Linked DNA regions of Arabidopsis thaliana. The protein of the gene in region 4 interacts with the protein of the main gene of each other region in a pairwise test. Each region holds a gene or a part of one and is shown on either strand. Other genes may lie near its edges.

Region 1 (5,562 bases), on a different chromosome or scaffold from region 4:
ATTTACTGCTAATTCTGTAGAACCTTGACTACTTCTAAAGTCAAATAATCGTTGACTAATATTCGCCAAGTGGATTTTATTCTCAAGGATATTTGGTAAAATCGTACACCACCATAAATATTCGAAAGCTGACCATAGTACAAGCGGATATTTTTTGGTAGTACATGCGGATAATGATATGTATGCCAACTAATCAGCATCAGAAACGGGCCAAACCTCACACTCACACAACACTCAACTAGATAACTTTAGGTTAATTAACTCTTCTAAAGCCAGAAACTCATACATACGTAAGATTAGAGCTTTTTTCTTCCACTATTTATGATTAGGTGAGCTGTCTTAAATCGTGCCCTCGATAATTGGATTTCAGATTCATAAAAGGGTACTTCTCGAACTAAAAATCGGAATATATGTGACCAATTTATTATTAATAAATAAATAGTTTACCAAATTTTTTGTTATAAATAAATTCGAAATTTAGGGATCGGGCATAGACATTTTCTTTTAAGCTTTACGGTCATCCACTTGAATTATAGATAGAACTAGTCAATTCGGATATGCTAAACTTTTTCTTATAACTTTTTTTCTTCTGGAAAAGGGACTTTTAAAAAATAAAATTATGTTTTTTTGTCATCAGAATATTATTTAACCACGCATCACCAACAATTGATTTAAGTATTGGTCTAATTAGGCTGTCTTTATTAGAACATAATCCAATTTGAAGATCATGAATTCGTTGGACAGCATCTTTGTACTTAACCATTAACTAACAATAATTAAATCAAAAGTATATTAGGGAGATCTCAACCACTCAATCGTATCTTTATTGCTTTAACATTCGACTGCCATCCTCGCTAATTTTTATATAATTAAGATGTATTTAAGCCATAATTTTACATAAATCTAAGAAAAATTATTCAACGGCAAAATATATATGACCGAAGTTATGCGATACTGTTTATGTGCTTCAGTGCTTCAGTGCTTCTGGTTGAGGCCGAAGAGGCAAAAGAAACCTAGAGTTATATATACGTCACTATAAAATATAGATGAATATTTGAATGTACTTTCTTCTTCTTCTTAACCCAAAAAAACGTTTTCAGTATTCCTTTCCATATATTTCAGTAATGTCATGTAATTTCATTTATGAACAAAATATGGCATGATTAGAAAACTTGAAAACCGTGAGTCAAATCAAATTATGTGCATGCCATATTATCTACTAATATATATGCGGGTTAATCAAATGAAAGTTTCTTTTGATCAGTGTTTGTTCCTAGCTATAGGTCAATGTCGTACGAATTTAGTCAGTAAAACTCACAAGATATCTACTAATGTTGAATGGCAGCTGCTCCATTATTTAACCTGCATTACCATGCTCCTCTCATAAAATATCTTCATTGGTAAGTCTCAGAGAAGTGTATGTATGCTATGTTCAAAATATCTATCAACTATGGTTCATGCATATGAAGTATAAAAAGACACCGATGAGACTCTAGTCTTTATCATCGATTGATGAATATATATATTCAAAAATGTATAAAGAAATCAGGCGCATCACTATATTTTTGTTTTGTTGGTGATCAAAAGATTCTCCTATATAAAGAAGCATGCATGAAAGTTTAGAATTTGCTAATTCAATCTAATCAACCAGATCATTTTTACAAAAAAAAAAAAAAAAATCACTCCAAGTAGTGAAGGACCAAAAGAACACACCCTTACGGACACTAAAACAAAGAGATTGGGACAAAAGCATCATTCAATGAACATATTCTTATGACAAATGTTAGTTTTTTCAGTGCCTAGTCGTGGAAAGTACTAACTGCTCAATTAGCTTCTGCTGCAACCAAGCTAAGTCGAAGCAATCAAAGCTATTTACCTGTGGATATATCATATATATGGATACATAAGAATAAGCATATTTACACAATAGATAAGCTTACACTAAAAAACTCTACAATAACTCCAAATATGTAACCGTACCTCGACTTGTATAGTGTACATGAGCCTCTCGTTGACTCGTGCTGTTAAAGAGCTGATGACTTCAAGTCCTTGCCCGTGAAGAACTTCAAGAACTCTTGAGAGTGGCCAAGCCTCGAGACCTGATGCTAAGCTGCTCACAACCACCTCGAAGCCGCTCACACACGGTTGCACCATGACACTAGCTGGTTCCGATCTACTTGATCCAGATCCGGATCCGGATCCAGTTAGACTAGTAGGGTCACCAATCTCTCGCTTTAGCTCGTCTCTTCTTGCGGAGAGATCTTTTATCCTTGTTTGCGTGTCTTTGATGAAACTTACTGCTCCGTTTACATGATCTGACATGGCTCTCTTTCCCTGCGAAGAAAGAGCCTGAGAAAACTAAAACCCTAGAGAACAAAAATCTCCCATCAATGAACTTGATAGGAAGATTGGGACTTCAATGAGACTATTGGAGTAAAATATATGTACCTTGATGTATTTTAGAGGTAGCTGACTACGAAGAGAGGCGAAAAGGATCGCCATTTCTTGTCTTCTTTGTCGTTCGATGTTGCGGTGGAGAAGCTTCTTCTCCTTCTTCGTTTCATCTCTTTCTTGAGGCATATGACTCTGGTGCCTTGTCTTTTTAGGATTGTTAGAAGGATTCATGGGTTGAGGTTTAGAAATGGTAGATCTCAGCAGTAATCGTTTTTTTTTCTCTCTTGTTTTTTCCAATGAACTAGTTAGGTTTATAGGAGAGACTGCCCTTACATAATTGGGTCTGTCTTCTTTAATCTTGGAAGAAAGAAAAAAACAAAGAAGACTTACTAAATAATGCAGCCTCGGGAGAGGTGTTGTTTTCATCTTTAGTCAAATAGTTTGGTTTGCTGTAATGTTTCACAAGCTCTTTTACACGTGACAGAACTTTATGCTTTGTATGTATATAACTAGCGAGTGTGTGCAAATCATTTCTCTGGCTTTTTAATGTTGGGAGTGTCTTGTAGAAGATTTTCTGACGCGCTTTATAATTTCAGATATCCAAGAAATATGAATGGTAAAATCTTGATTAGTCTAAAACGGATCCCAATATGATCTTGATCGATATAAATCTTGATATATTTATATGGATCAAGATCTGGAATTTACATTCCAATTTTCTTTTATATGATGTGTTTCATATATAAAAAAATACATAGAACATTTTAATTAACTTTAGAAAATATATAATATTACTAGTAAGATCAATGTGAATATCTATACATTTTATCACATTTGGATTTATTTATTTTTGCTTGAACATTATGATCTATCATGCAAATTGTTTTCAGTTTTCTTCCAAATTTTTGCATGTGATTTGAAGATGACTAATGAAGCATTTTTTTCTTATGGTACACTGGTATCTGCTTCGAGATAGAACAAAAAAATCAAATGATATTTGATCAAAATATCTGGATTTGTCAATTGTGATAATGGATGAATAGTCATGAGTCGACTAATCGGTAGAATTCTCCATAGAAACTTTCAAGGAGATAAAGAGGTTGCTCAAATTAGAAAGTTTGTCGTTGAATTATGTGTGATTTGTTTGACAAAAACACAAAACAACGAAATGATTATGTGTGGTTTCTATTAGTTTTGGCCCAATAAAACTTTATGGTGGCAACAAAGAACATTCGGCAAATAAGAACGTGTACATGTACTCAAATAATATAATCTCATGCAAGAGAAGAGATTATTTATCAATATGTTTGTGAAGATGTTCGCAGTATCAATGAACACACAAATGTTGTCAGTATTATAACCGAACTTTCTAACGCAGTCTAAGCATGAAAATCATATTGTTATAGTATACATTAGAATTGCGGAAAATTACGTACATATCCCATAACAGTTAAATGAAAAAAAAAAGAGAACAAGAATACAAACATCATTTAAAAATATTGGGAATTCACTCTCATTCACTTGGACAGAGAAAATATCTTATCAGTTTCTTTTGTTGTTTTGGCAATTTCGATTGTCATCGGGTAAAACTTCTAGAAACTAACCTCACGATATTTTTCAATCAAAATATGATAAAGATAAATAGTAAAACCAAGGGAGACACATTTAATAATGGGGATAAGCTAAGTGGATAGGATGAGTGAAGTGGAGTGGACATAGTTAAAAGATAGGCCTAGGACAGCTCATGCAACTTCAAGACAAGGTGGAAGAGGAGACAAGAAAGATCCTGGTTATTAATAGATGGAAACCAGCTGTTTCATTTGTCCTAAAATATCCCAGCCTCATTAGCATCTCATGGATCCCACTCTCCCAAATTATTTCGAGCATGCATTATGCCACATGTGAGTTTATGTAGTTATTCATTATAACCTCAAGTTTGATTTTTGTTCTGTGTGTAAGCCGTGTTCAGTTACAAACCAACCACTTATAATAATCTAACAGTATTTTCTAATCAAATTGTTAGAAAGGTAAACAGTAGAACTGCCGTCAAGGAAGACGAATTTGATGTAGTAAGGGACTACTTTTTTTTTTTTTTTTTTTTTTTTAGTATGGGACTACTTAAAGTCTTAAAACAATAGTTTTGATCGGAAACAGAAAATCTAGTCGATTCGTTTTTGGGAGATTTACTCGATAAATCTTTGATTTTGATGATCCTAGTGATAGTTTCTAATAGGTTGAGAGAAAAGAAAATAATAACGATAACTAGAGCTTCCGAGTTGTATAAATACAAGATTCTTATTTATAAATCGAATTTGAATTTAATTTCATAATATTTTAAAATAATTAAAAACAATTATCGGAAAATTCCAAAACATTTCCAACAGATTTTGATTTCCAATGTTGTATATTCGACGGTCGAATTCCGTCAAAAATCTCGAAAATCCATTTCTAACGGTTTTCCCCGTAGGATCTTGCATGTTTAATGTTTTCTTGTTGTATATGTTTAATACATAGTATTTGTTTTCTTTTCATAAAAAGTTCACTTAACCGAATTTGTTTTGAAATTATTAATGAGACTTTAATAATATATTGTCTGGCAATAATTTTATGCTTTTTCAGTTAGGTTTGTTTTGTAAAAGTTCATCATCATGAACATATCGTTGTATATGTCGCCCAAAAAAATAAAACTTTTAAGATATTTTAGTTTTGTGAAACCAAAATGCTAACTAACCGCAAGCATTTTTTTATATAAAAAATTCACAAATGTATTATATTGGAATTTCAATAAAACTTTCACTTGCGTTGCTAGTACAACGTAACTCACTGTACTATACATTTTGATAAAATATAGTATCAGTTTTATAATATCCAAATATTGACCTTTAAAAAGATGGAAAATACTTAGCTGTTCATAATAAGAAACTCATATTTTTATCCTACAAATTAAGATTAAAGCAGATTGAAGCTACAAAAATCTTTATAATACTATATAGTTTGTTTGCTTAATTTTGTATATACTTTAATAGCTGTTTCATATATGCTTCATTTTTTTGTTTGTAAACAGATTCTTATACGAGCACTAATATGTGCAACTTAATGAGTTTAATATATTATAGTCTTGTCTTACAATTATAAATTCTTATTTTGTAAATTTTCGTTGGTTTTTCT
Region 2 (3,771 bases), on a different chromosome or scaffold from region 4:
AAAAACACTTGCACTTCCCATTATAGTTATGTTTACTATCGTATGTAAACTTTAGTAATAATATGTTTACGTTGATCTTCCCATTGTAGAAGCACAAGAATAGAAGAAAGAAAGAGTTAAGTGTCGTTAGCTTAATTGGTAAAGACTCTAGGCAAAACTAATATTACGGATTTCGGCCCAGAACCAAAAAAAAAAAATATATATATAGAAGAAGGAAAAAAAATTGTCAATAGATTAGAAGCATGGACTAAATTGACATTTCATAAACTATCAGATAAAATGAATAATATTTTGTAAATTCAGATTAGTACTCCGCAAATAAATTTGATTGAGAACTTCTAACGTGCCCGACTGGAGTAAAATAAGATTCCAAATGACACTGGAGTTTTAGCCAAATTTCAATCACGTGGCGAAATCTTGTTCGTTCTTAAACTGCCAGTTAGAGATGCAAAAAGAATCAAAGTTTAGGGAGTAAACTGTAAATACTTCCTTTTCAAGTAAGTATTTGATGATAATGGCTCCCTGATTAGAAATGTCTCATTATTTTAGACCATTATCACTAAGCAGTAAGCACTATAAGTCTATAATCGCAGAAGATAGATAAAATGGAAGTAGGGTTTTCTATGGGTTTGGGAATCATGGGAAAGTCCATGTCAATGAATATATTGAAGAACGGATTCAAAGTCACTGTATAGAACAGAACACTCTCCAAGGTATAAAAACCAAAATTTTCTGCTTTTGATTGTGTTAATAGATTACGTTTTGTCTGATAAAGTTGGACACTTTGAGTAATACTAATTATCTTCAAACTCTCTTGGAAAACTATTGTTGTTGTTCTTGTTAGATTTCAGTTCACAAACAAGCTGTCGGAGATCAGAAGCTTCTTCTTTGAGTTTAGAGTTCTCCTTCAATACACAATTTTGAGTCTCCGATACGCGGTTCAGCTTATCGATAAGACAGTTGTTCTCGTTGCGAAGCCTTATTACCTGAGACCAGAGTTCATCAAGATGTCTCTGTTTCCTCATCCTTGACCTCCTTGCAGATTCTCTGTTCGAAAGCATCCTTCTCTGTTTCCTCTCGTCGAGTACCATGATGCTTTGATGATGATCTTCGTCGGAAGTTGAGTTGTTGCTTATCATGAGATCTTGACTGTTGGATGATGAGGAATAGTTGTTGTTGTTGATGATCAAATCGTTTAGGTAGTTTAAGGAAGAGGTTGGAGATGAAGGCATGTTTATTACGTTGTATTCCGGTGATAGATATTGGAAATATCCGTTGATTTCTGCCGGAATCATGGTTTTAGTTTGGTTTATATGAGTATGTAAGAGTTTCTGTGTTTTTATTTTGTGTGAAGAATTGGGAAGTTAGTTTTGAAGTAAGAGGAGGAAGTGGACCAAGGGTTTTATAATGGGGTTGTAGGAGAATCATGTAGAAGTGGGTCCTATGGATTATAAGAGCATAGAATAAGAAGAAAAAATGCGATGCTATAATTCGTAATTTATAGTGGTGGAACATGGACAAAGAAATGGAAAGAGTTTAGTCATAACAAAAATATTGTTAGTGTTTTATATATAACTTGTTCATTGGAAGTGAGAGCAGAAACTGCGAGAAGGTTTTTAAAATTTTGGTTTTTTTATATAATTTAAACCCAATAATAGTTAACTTGAGTTGTTTATTTTTGTAACCTAGATTTATACACGTAAACCCTTTTTTATTTTAATTTATGGTAAATTATATTAAAAAAAAATATTTATACAATGTTTAATACGCAGTAAAAAAAAATACAATGTTTAATACAAAATTTTCATATCTTTTAGTTTAAATCTATCCTTAGCATTTGTCTTGTCGCAACCAAGTTTGGATGCTTCCCTTCCCTAGAATGAACTTATAGAGAGAGAGAGAGAGTGATGCGGCTAAACTTTAATTAAAAGATTGGATACGTTTGAGCGCCAAGTTCGATCCATTATATGCATTTAACTTAAAAGATTCGACATGTCTATTGTTTAAAATATAACTAACTAAAGTAATTAAGTACTGACTTGTCCCTCATTCGTTTTCCTTTATAAGTGATCATTAAATAAGAACCCACACTCTACATCGTGGAGAAATATGTGTAGAAATTTTAGTTTGTTAATTTATATCATAAATTATAATTATAATATATTTTATTTAATAAGTTTATTTTGTAATTTTATATATTTAATTTATTATATCATATTTCAATGTAATTTTGCAATCGAATTAATAAATTTGACAATAATTCATCCAATGTTAAAATCGTTGATATCTAGAGAGTGAGACATGTTGATACGCAGAGAAATTCATCAATTCATAGAAACTAATCATAGCAAATTTAGAGGATTAACCGAAAACATGATATATTATGTTTAATTATGATATTAATAAAAATATTTGTATTAATGATTAAGAAGTATTTATGAATATTAATTATGGTTAAAAAACGTAATTTGATGTTTGTTGCGTTATCCCATTCTACATAGGATCTCGTTTGTTTCAATATTTTGGAAAATATAATAATGAATTTGAATATATAAAAGATATGATTTTTGTCATAGTATTTTTCGTTGTGAGTTTTGTTGCATTTAGTGTCCAAGTGAGTCTTTTGAATTTTAGAAGTCTTAGTGTCTTTATGTGTATTATGTTATTTTTTATGTCTTTTACACTACAATGGACATTCTTATCACGAGAAAAATGCTATAATATGTCTTTAATAACTTTTTCATGAACGCTATTTTAGGGCATTGTTATTATAGGTACCTCACATACAGTAGCGTGAGTTCAGTATGCTATGTTATAGTTTAATAACATAGCTATAAAGAACAGTTGTATTATCACGTTTAATTTTCTTAAAAAAATTATATAATATTTGATTTTTCGTGCTATGTTATATATCTCTAATATAGCTGTTGCGAAATGTTGTTTTATCGTGGTTTGCCTTTTTTCAATTGGAAAATAATTAGTCAAATTATGTGCTATGTTATGTTCTTATATCAATTTATAAGCTACGATAGATGATTAAAACATAGCATTAGTCATATGTTAAATATTCTATTACCTGTATTCTTATAGCATTTTCTGAGATGTGATTATAGTACACATAACACATAACCTGCTTTATAAAATCTCATACATTGACCATTGATTAAACATAAGTTTAGATCCAAAATACATAAGAAAAGTCTCAAGCACAAAATAAAGCAATACAGGAGCTAAGTGCATATGTTCTCTTTCCTTGTGTGGTAGGATGCAAAGCGTGTCGTAGACCAAGATGTTGCAGATCCTTACGTGCATTAAGACCATCCTTAGATTTTCCACAATGCAACAATGTGGATACAATACTGTGAGCCACGTTCTTTTCTGTATGCATTACATCCAAATTATGCCTTACTAGTAGATCCTACAATATAGACATACATATATTTTAGAAGTAATTGATGTATCATACTTAAACATATAAAAGCTATTTAAATCTGAAAACAAGTAATCATACCTCCCAATAAGGCAAAGTAAAGAAGATTGATCTTTTCTTCCATCTAGATAACTCATCCTCATCTACTTCTACTTCCTCATCTTCCTCGGATTCACTGGATACATCATCACTATCATAGACTGGTTCTTTATAGACAGTTCTCTTTCTCTTCATCCCAGATTTTTTCACATTTCCAAAATCATTCTTGAAGTTTTTCAGATTTTGATAAACTTCATGACCAGTTAAAATTCTTGTCTTTCTCCTATGTTCAACTTTTCCAT
Region 3 (4,238 bases), on a different chromosome or scaffold from region 4:
CATGAGTTAGTGTACAGATAACATGTTATAGCTAAACTATATGATAAAAAAAACTATATGCTTAATTTTATTAAGCAAGTAAACAAAATATCACATAATTATGTTTTGGAAGAATCGGAAACCATATATGTTTGAGTAATCAAATGAGCCCGTTTATAAGCCCATTTAAAGACTTTACTTGCCATCTCTACACGGTGTTAAAGAATAAATGTGTAGTGCCATGTTAATATTGTTGAACCCCAAATCAACGTCGAGATAATAAAATGTCGGACCATTTCATCACAACCAATTCGTGTCATCTCAAATAAATTAAAGGGCTAAATGATACGTGGCCATCAAACATTTGTATCTGTTATCTATCATTATCACAGAGCGACACTGTAGTCCAACAGCAGGATTTAAAAGCACATAGTGACATAACACAGTTTTACCAATTACTTTGAAAGAATTACAATGAAAAGTAAATTACATCGTTATAATACGTACTATGAAGCTAGTAGTCTTCTCGATAAATTTTCTGCATATCCACTATTGATGCCTAGAACTATTCGAAAATAATCGGTATATTCTTTTTTTTGGTCATCGCAATTTTTAATTTATTTGTAACACCCTAAATGGAGAGCGTAGTAACAACACGTCAACAACAAATAATATGGAAAACACGAATGAAAAAACAAAATATAGCTAACTCACTGTGTTAAATAGTTTAAGGATTAATTTTGATATTTCAAGACTAAAATTCAAGTTCTTTCACTGTAATTTCCAAATCATAGTTTGCAATTATGAACTTTCAAATGAATAGAAATATTGAAACTTTCACAAGTTCGAAGGTGAGCCTGAACTTCGAATTTGGATGCTTCCACTATATGGACTAAAAATTCGGTATTTGAATTCGTGGCCCACGCACTTTCACAGCCCAACGTTAAACATTCTTTTTCAACAGTGTTTTGTCCCTTTATTGGTAAAAAATACCTGTTACCTCCCTACATTTGTATTTTCTCCAACCGACTGAACTTAATTTTATTGATATCATGTTTACAACATAGTTCCTTTACAACCTTTTTAAGAAATGACCCTTTGTTCTTTGCTAATGTAGCACACAAAAACTATTCCCATGGAACAATTATCATGTTTTTTTTGCCGAACCAACAGTCATCTGTTATTTAGATAAGCATATAATACATATATATTTTTGATATTTAATTTTCTGCATAGTCTACAGCAGCAAGATAAACCAAATTCCTTTTCTATATAAGCAACACAAGACAATCACACGAGATAATAAAAAATAAACACGAACAAATAAAAACTAAAAAGAACGTAAAATCCAACAAGATATACAAAAAATATATGAAGGCTTTTAAACACAGTTAGTTTCGGTCAAAACCTGAACCATTGTCTGCATAACTTTCACTTTCATTTCCAAAGCCAAGATATAATCTGCCGTTTGTCTAAAGAGTCCATCTAAACCTTCTGATGTTTTGGTGTTGGGAACAAGCTCTTTTAGCGTCTTCACTCGTCTGTGTATTGCGCGACAAGGTCTTCTAGAAGCTTCTACACTCTTCCTTGGTCGGATCATGATCTTCTTCACAAGTGCCCTTCGAGCCCTTTGTCTTCTCATCAAAACCCAAATTGATTCCTTTCTTTGTCCTTCTAATGTTACACCCATATTATTATTGTAAATGAAAGAATGTTGTGTAGACAAGTGATAACGTTTGCTTACAAGATTAGATGCAAATATATATGAGAGTATGAGACGCCCTTAGTTTATATAGACATACATAGAGGTCAGTGACCTTTATATATAGCTTAAAATGGAGATTACAGCTTCTGAGAAGGTTCTCCTTTTATCTCTCAAAAGAATTGGATGAGAATTTGACAAGTGTCCACAAGGGTGTTTTAAATGTTGTTTTTGATGGATAATTAGGGTTTAGCTTAAATCAGAGGACATGTCATCAAAATACAACTCGATGCACATGCACTCACATGATTATCATCACTACCCAACTCTCTTACATGCTTAATAACACCAACTTTCTTCCCATTCACATCACCTTAAACACCCTGTCTTATTCCTCCTTTGTTGCGCTTTATCCATTTTTTCATTTTATTTTATTTTACTTTCGCAGCCAATTTGTTCTGAGATTAACAAAGTCGGGCGGATTGAAGCAAACCAAAAAAAAAAAGTCAGGCATTAACGAAGAATATAATTATCTTTATGCCATTATCTTTCTAGATTAATTCTTAATCTAATTTATAAGCATGCAATCAGTGTATTAAGACGCTAGCGATTGAAATAGACAGATATATAGGTTGATAAGATGAAAAAGAAAATATTCATATTATGCCGCGCGCGTTAGCAAAAGTCAAAACAACTATCGAAAAATTATCTTATTTTATATTTCTCCCAAAATTTTGGTCTGATTCGTAAACTAATTTAGAAACATACAATATATTAGTGTTTGAGTTTCGCTACAATGTATATAGTTTGAATTGATCACCACTGTCGACGGAGATGATAGATAAAATATGACTATTTGGTTGTCATAATGCTTTTGCTTTTATCAAGTCGTTATATATCTCATTATTTCCAGCTGATATAACCCGGCGCAACTAATTAAGAAATATGAATAACCTAATGATATAACAAAAGCATTTCTAGGTGTTTTATTTTTTTGGACAAAGTAGATAACGATGTTGGATAATGGGATAAGGTCTTAATATAAAAAGACACAAGAACATGCAGTGATCTTCTGTGTTCCTTTGAATTTATGGACTTTCGTATTTAGGATTTTTATTTTAGTGAGTGGATTTGATTGAAGCACCTTAAAAGATTATGTTCTTTCTCGTCATGTGTTTATTTTTAAGAAAAGAAAAAGAAAAGCAGATTCGTGGAGCGATGTTGATCAAACATCCTCGGAGACTATAGATTCAATGTATATCTCCCATCGCCGTCAACACGAAACATTGTACTTACAAATTCTCTTAGACATATATGTACGTCTCTGATAATTGAGATATATAAATTGATCATTAAATGAGAATTAGCTTAACATTCGCATATGATTGATCAGTGTATGTCTATATTTTATAGGTTTCAAGGTAACGTGAAAAGTACCTAACTAATTAAGGTAGGTTTATACATATAATAAGTAGCCATAATGGAGTGTTTAGTGGTCGAAATTGATCGCTTGTTAGCAGCACGTTGTATGTATATTAGCTTAACGTGCATGCACATGTTCTTATATCCTCCCTATTCGTCTAGGCCACCCAACACATCTATATCCCAATTCACAATTTTTTATATATATTTTTTATTACCAGAAAATTATTAATGTTTCGGAAATTATGATCGAGTAATTATCTTATGTATAATTTTTACGAAATTTCCTTTGTTAATATCATAATAGTTGTTTTAACCAGAAAATGGTATATATATCAGAAAGAAGTAAAACAATAAGAAGACCATATCAGCAGAATCTATTATATGTTGAATGTTCTGTCTTCCAATAAATGATACAAAAATAAATCTTAAACTAGGATTTAATCCGTGGTACACCACGGGACAAATATTTTTTATATATATATATATAATAATATGAATTTTACGGTTTTAGTTTAGTATTAAAGTTATATAATTTTATATTAATATTGTAACTAAAAAAATTGGTGATGATAAAATAATAAAATAAATATTTAACATGTGTTATATCAATCCAAACCCGTCCTGCTATTCATATCAATCTAAATCCGTCCCGCTATATTTTTTGTCTCATGATTTTTTAATTTTTTATAAGTTTAAATATTAGTTGTTGAATTAGTTATGATTGTGATTTTATACCGAAAAAGTTATGGACTTTTAATTTCATGGAATATTCAAACCAAGATAAGGAATGTTTTTAGGTGCACATATAATTGGGTTTGCTCATTTTACGGGATTGTAAATGTATTTTGGTTTGTTTCACAATGTTTGTTTTAATTGATTGCCGATATTTAATAGAAATAATTTAAATAGTTCAAATTTTGGTTGTTTTAAGATTTAGTGAATATTGTAGGTGAGATAAGGAGAAGATAATTTATCGTGTTTTGCGTGACATATGGGATTACCATATATTTCGAATATTTTTGGTTTGTTACACAATTAATTGCCTTAAAAAAATACAAACTATTAATTAAAAAAAATTAAATAATTAAAATCCAGTGACAACCATTGTAAATAAATCCCAACTCCATGATTT
Region 4 (5,018 bases):
TTGAAGTTTTTAATGTTTTATTAGGTAAAACTTTATAATAGGTTAGATATTATTCTACATTTTTTTGCCTAGAGATATTGCGAATACAAGAATCATTAACTCAAAAACCACTTGCATTGATTACAGGACTTGAAACTCTCTCCCATTTTCTTGACGTCAAAAATGATAAAAACTACTCCATGTTTTATAAAAGATAAGAAAAGGGAAAGAGTGATGATGATGATGCGTCGTGAATCGACGAATAAGAGGAAAATGTGACACGTTCTCTTTTCCCCCATTACGCTCTCGTCACTCCTCACCAGCCTGCTCCCTTTTCAAACTTTTCTGTTTTCCCCCTAATTTTACGAAAATCAAAATAAGTTAAAATGGAATATATACCAACTTTCAAAATAAAAAATCTTCAAAACATATCAATGTGTATATAGCGACACGAGTATAAAGTCCCACACACACAATAAACTAAGGTTGGCAGAAAAAAATATACCACCAAACTAAGTGATCGTAACTACTCTTTCGAAAAAACCAAACCCTAATCTTGTTTTAAGACTAAGACCAATTATACTAAAAAGGAAAGATTTCATAATTGGAAGGAAAGTAGTATACTTTGATAGTTATTAAAAATAAAAATAAAATGTTCAAAAGATTTGGCTATAGTGGTTGCTTTGGTGAACTCCACTCCAACGGTGGTTTGCACCATCTCCATTCCCATCACTACCAAAAACCCACACTTCTTTTTTTTTTTCTTTCTTTGCGTAATGTGGGTTAAAAGGAACTTTATTTATGCTCTTGTTTTTGGGTGTTTGAATCGAATTTGAAATCAACATTTGTTTTTATTTTATTTTATTTATAAAAAATTTGTGTGTTTGGAAAGTTGTAAAAGGTTCAAGGGGTTTCGGTAGAGATAATCTTAATTTGGTTTTTAACACATCGACTTAATCCAAATTGACATCTCTAATAGGATTCAGATATTATTATATCTATCCTGTAATTTTCCATAAAATGTAATCAATATGAGATTTGGTATTAGGGTATGAACTTAATGTATCTTATCGGAAAAATGTTTTCTCCTTTGGGTTACCTAATCTCATATCTAATGCCAAAAATAGCATAACATAGAAGATTGGCTAGATCATATGTGGACATCACCGACTGCATGGCAATGTTTGTTTTATAATCGCGTAATACTTGTTTGTCATTTGCCAGTTCTCATAACAAATGCGAAAATAATCTTATATATCCTTGGTAATGCATGTAAAAATTAATTTTGCTTCATGAATTATTTTATATTCTTAAATTCATGACTGAATGAAATTTCTTATCTATATTCAGACGCAGTATATGGGACATCTAACTCAATTTTAAGATTCTAGATTGGATGATTTTATGTTGTTTGACAAAAAAAATAAAAAAATTGGATGCTTTCTATAAATTTCATGCTTTGTATTTTATTAAATTTTGAGCTATTATTGTATTAGTATAGAATTGAGCTATTATTGGATTGTTCTTATCACTTTGTTAATTTCATTTGGTCCTTTAGTTAGATATCAAAATTTTTAAAATTTTCAAAAAAGATCACAGGTTTAATCGGTGACTTTCAATAATACTAGTTTTAACACGACAAGCAAAATATTGTGCATGTATACTATTAAATTGTTAATGTTAGTACTATGAAATAACAAATTCATCACCATTGTAAAACTTAATGTTTCAACATTTCCTAAGAAGAAATGGTCAACCCTTTTGACAAGACAAGCTAAATTGGCATGGACAAGGAACACAGCATCATGATATAACCCTTCACAATAATTATAATAAAAACAATCAAATTTGTATTGAATAATGCGAAACAGACCTGACTTATCAATATGTGACGAAGGATAAGCCCACGCCAAAAACATCCACGTAAAGAACTCATTGATTAGGTCCAAAGAAATTTGGAGAAAATAAAACAAATCCTGACGTGAAAATAAAAAGAAATCATCACTTTTTTTTATCTCTTTTATTTTCTTCTAAATACAAAAATTGAATAATCAATTAATTTTTCATGTATGCAAACAATTTCTTAACAAGTCTTGTGAGCTTTAAATGAAATATAGAGGCGAGTGGATTAGACTTGATCCTGATCTTTTATTAAGCTGATCCATATTTTACATTGAAATAAAGGACACACCGTTTAACACGAAAATGAAGAGACAAATAAAGAAGAGGAAAAGCATTGATTCTGAAATACCAATATAGTATCATTCGTGAAAGAAGATTTTGTAATATTCCACAAACTTAGAAATTAGGGGAAAAGAAAACAAAAAAAAAAGATAGGAAAAAAGAGCTTTAACTTTTGGAATTGGAAGAAGCACAAACACACACAAAAAAAAAGTCTCTGTTTTACCTTTTAACCCCTTCAAGAATCCTCCTTTAAGTTCAGTGCCCTCTTACTTTTCTCTTATCGGAATATCTCTCTTCCTCTGTTTCTTCGCCATTCTCTCAGCTTTTCTCCTTCTTCTTCGTCTTTGTCAGGTAAAGAGATACGATGAGCATATCCCACATACCTCTCTCCTCTTCTCATCTTTTTAGTTTCTCGAAAGTTTGCATGCGCCGACTTTGTTATAGGTTATAAACTTTAGTTTTAAGCCTATTTTCGTATGTTTATGGTTGTTGTAATAGTTGAGAATTCAGAGTATGTCAAGTGAAACTTAAAAAGAATTCTATATGTATGTGTGTATGTGTTAAAGAGTGAATGGAGCTGTGGACAGAAGCTAGAGCCTTAAAGGCAAGTCTAAGAGGAGAATCTACTATATCTCTCAAACATCACCAAGTGATTGTGTCGGAAGATTTAAGCCGAACTTCTTCCTTGCCGGAAGATTTCTCCGTTGAGTGTTTCCTCGATTTCTCAGAAGGTCAAAAAGAAGAAGAAGAAGAAGTTGTCTCTGTTTCTTCTTCACAAGAGCAAGAAGAACAAGAACATGATTGTGTCTTTAGTTCACAACCTTGCATCTTTGATCAACTTCCTTCTTTGCCGGTAAATTTCTAAACTTCTTTATACCTTTTCTTTCTCTTCTTATAATCGAAAGATTTTAAGTTATATTTTTCTTGATTTCTTTTTTTTTGGGATATTTTTAGGATGAAGATGTGGAAGAGCTTGAATGGGTATCTCGTGTTGTGGATGATTGTTCATCACCAGAAGTTTCACTTCTCTTAACACAAACACATAAAACCAAACCAAGCTTCTCAAGAATTCCGGTTAAACCAAGAACCAAACGGTCTCGGAACAGTTTAACCGGTAGTCGTGTTTGGCCACTCGTTTCAACCAATCATCAACATGCAGCAACAGAGCAGTTGAGGAAGAAGAAACAAGAAACTGTCCTTGTGTTTCAACGAAGATGCAGCCATTGTGGCACAAACAACACACCACAGTGGAGAACCGGTCCGGTCGGTCCAAAAACCTTATGTAATGCATGTGGAGTCCGGTTTAAGTCTGGTAGGCTCTGCCCGGAATACAGACCGGCGGATAGTCCGACGTTCTCGAATGAGATTCACTCAAATCTTCATAGGAAGGTTCTGGAATTAAGAAAGAGTAAAGAGTTGGGTGAAGAAACAGGTGAAGCTAGTACTAAATCAGACCCAGTCAAATTTGGCAGCAAGTGGTAGATAAGACTTAGGTAAAACCTACTTTTTGTAACATTATCTGTAGTGTTGTAATTTAACAACTTGCTTCTTAACATTTTGAAACTGTTTCAGGAACTAGTCTTAAGTAAACAATGGTTTTCTATAAACAAAATTAATGTGTGTTTTTAATGATGTAAGACCACCACCACCACTACTAGTACTTGGAATGATTTTGGTCCATGTGTAGTGGCTTAAATAGACTTTTTGAGTAAACAAAATGCCAAATGGAAGAATCATCTTGAAAACTCCAACATTACTATATAGTATATATATTATTGATAAATCTTGAGATTCGACATATTTATTTGATAATCGATGCAAGCATAATTAATTTAGACATTTATTCAGCAAAAAAAAAAATTAGGTATGTAATTAATTTATACATATCGAATTACTAAAGGTTAATTTTCAGGCTAATCGTAGATAAACGATTTCGTTAAATCCCCATGAAAGTAAATTTAGGCAAATGTATGATGCTATGTCTGCCGCATAATTGTTTAATCTCACCATTTGCATATCAATCTTTAAGGGAAACATCCTTTTAATGTGTTTATGTGGCCTTGTCTCCGTTTTATTGCTACTTTGTGTCATACTCAAAATAAGTTGACTATAAAGCTACATGTATCTACACAAAAAGAGAGTTTATTTAGTATGCTTGCTTGGGAATAAGCAGGAGACAAAAGAAAACATCCAAGTTAAAACATGAAGCAGCAAAAGAGAGTGTTCATCCACAAAATGTGAGAGGTTTCTTAGCATATAAAGATATTGATATAAATCTAATCATTCTCGTAAGAACAAGAACAAAATGAAAGAGCCAAAAACTAAACCCATCTTTCACTTTTTAGATACGAGAAGTGCCACGATCTTTTGAAGATCTTCCTGATTTTGCTTTGCAACCTTTGTAATCTCATCAAGCCGGTGCATGTAGAGAGCATTTTTGGCACTCATCTCTTTCTTAAACTCATGGATAACCACACTCTTCTTGTTTATCTCCAACCACAAGTCGGCTAGGCTTCTATCCGTTTTAGAGGTGTTCCATAACCCCCAAACGAAGGAGATGCAAGTAAGAGAGCCAAAGAAACACCAAGTGAGAAACGAGGTATAGGTTTGTGAGAAATCTCTGGAGGCCTTACCTAGGCAAGTGTACTCCACAAAAGTTTGATGCTCCTTCCCTTTAGCTTTAGCCAGTAGTTGAAGCTTCTTAGCTTGAGATATGTTGATAAATTTGAGAAACTTCCATTTGCGTTTGACGCTCCTCTCGCATGATCTCTTGACCCCGATGTAATGAAGCCTAGTTGCTAAAAGTTTAAAAACCTTGAACCATGTCGATTGTGGATCGTCATTAGGTGTGTAAT

Evidence for each region.
Region 1: the proteins of GATA3 (region 4) and AT5G51790 interact in a two-hybrid assay, tested with the Arabidopsis thaliana proteins (one large-scale study listed by BioGRID).
Region 2: the proteins of GATA3 (region 4) and bZIP48 interact in a two-hybrid assay, tested with the Arabidopsis thaliana proteins (one large-scale study listed by BioGRID).
Region 3: the proteins of GATA3 (region 4) and UPB1 interact in a two-hybrid assay, tested with the Arabidopsis thaliana proteins (one large-scale study listed by BioGRID).

Annotation. Positions count from the first base shown.
Region 1 is NC_003076.8:21,036,825-21,042,386, reverse strand, and holds AT5G51790 (basic helix-loop-helix (bHLH) DNA-binding superfamily protein), read right to left. Parts: upstream 2,855-5,562; 5' UTR 2,821-2,854; coding exon 2,449-2,820; intron 2,335-2,448; coding exon 1,981-2,334; coding exon of another isoform or gene 1,942-1,980; exon of another isoform or gene 1,877-1,941; coding exon 1,793-1,876; 3' UTR 769-1,792; downstream 1-768.
Region 2 is NC_003071.7:1,329,443-1,333,213, reverse strand, and holds bZIP48 (basic leucine-zipper 48), read right to left. Parts: upstream 1,296-3,771; coding exon 795-1,295; downstream 1-794. Other genes in the region: AT2G04137 (phosphogluconate dehydrogenase (decarboxylating), NAD-binding domain protein), read left to right, coding at 606-689, 852-1,031.
Region 3 is NC_003071.7:19,410,381-19,414,618, forward strand, and holds UPB1 (transcription factor UPBEAT protein), read right to left. Parts: upstream 1,949-4,238; 5' UTR 1,670-1,948; coding exon 1,361-1,669; 3' UTR 1,050-1,360; downstream 1-1,049. UniProt on the Arabidopsis thaliana protein: Transcription factor that modulates the balance between cellular proliferation and differentiation in root growth. Does not act through cytokinin and auxin signaling, but by repressing peroxidase expression in the elongation zone.
Region 4 is NC_003075.7:16,550,966-16,555,983, forward strand, and holds GATA3 (GATA transcription factor 3), read left to right. Parts: upstream 1-2,179; 5' UTR 2,180-2,514; exon of another isoform or gene 2,515-2,729; 5' UTR 2,730-2,734; coding exon 2,735-3,016; intron 3,017-3,117; coding exon 3,118-3,645; 3' UTR 3,646-3,907; downstream 3,908-5,018. Other genes in the region: AT4G34690 (uncharacterized protein), read right to left, coding at 4,498-5,018. UniProt on the Arabidopsis thaliana protein: Transcriptional activator that specifically binds 5'-GATA-3' or 5'-GAT-3' motifs within gene promoters. May be involved in the regulation of some light-responsive genes.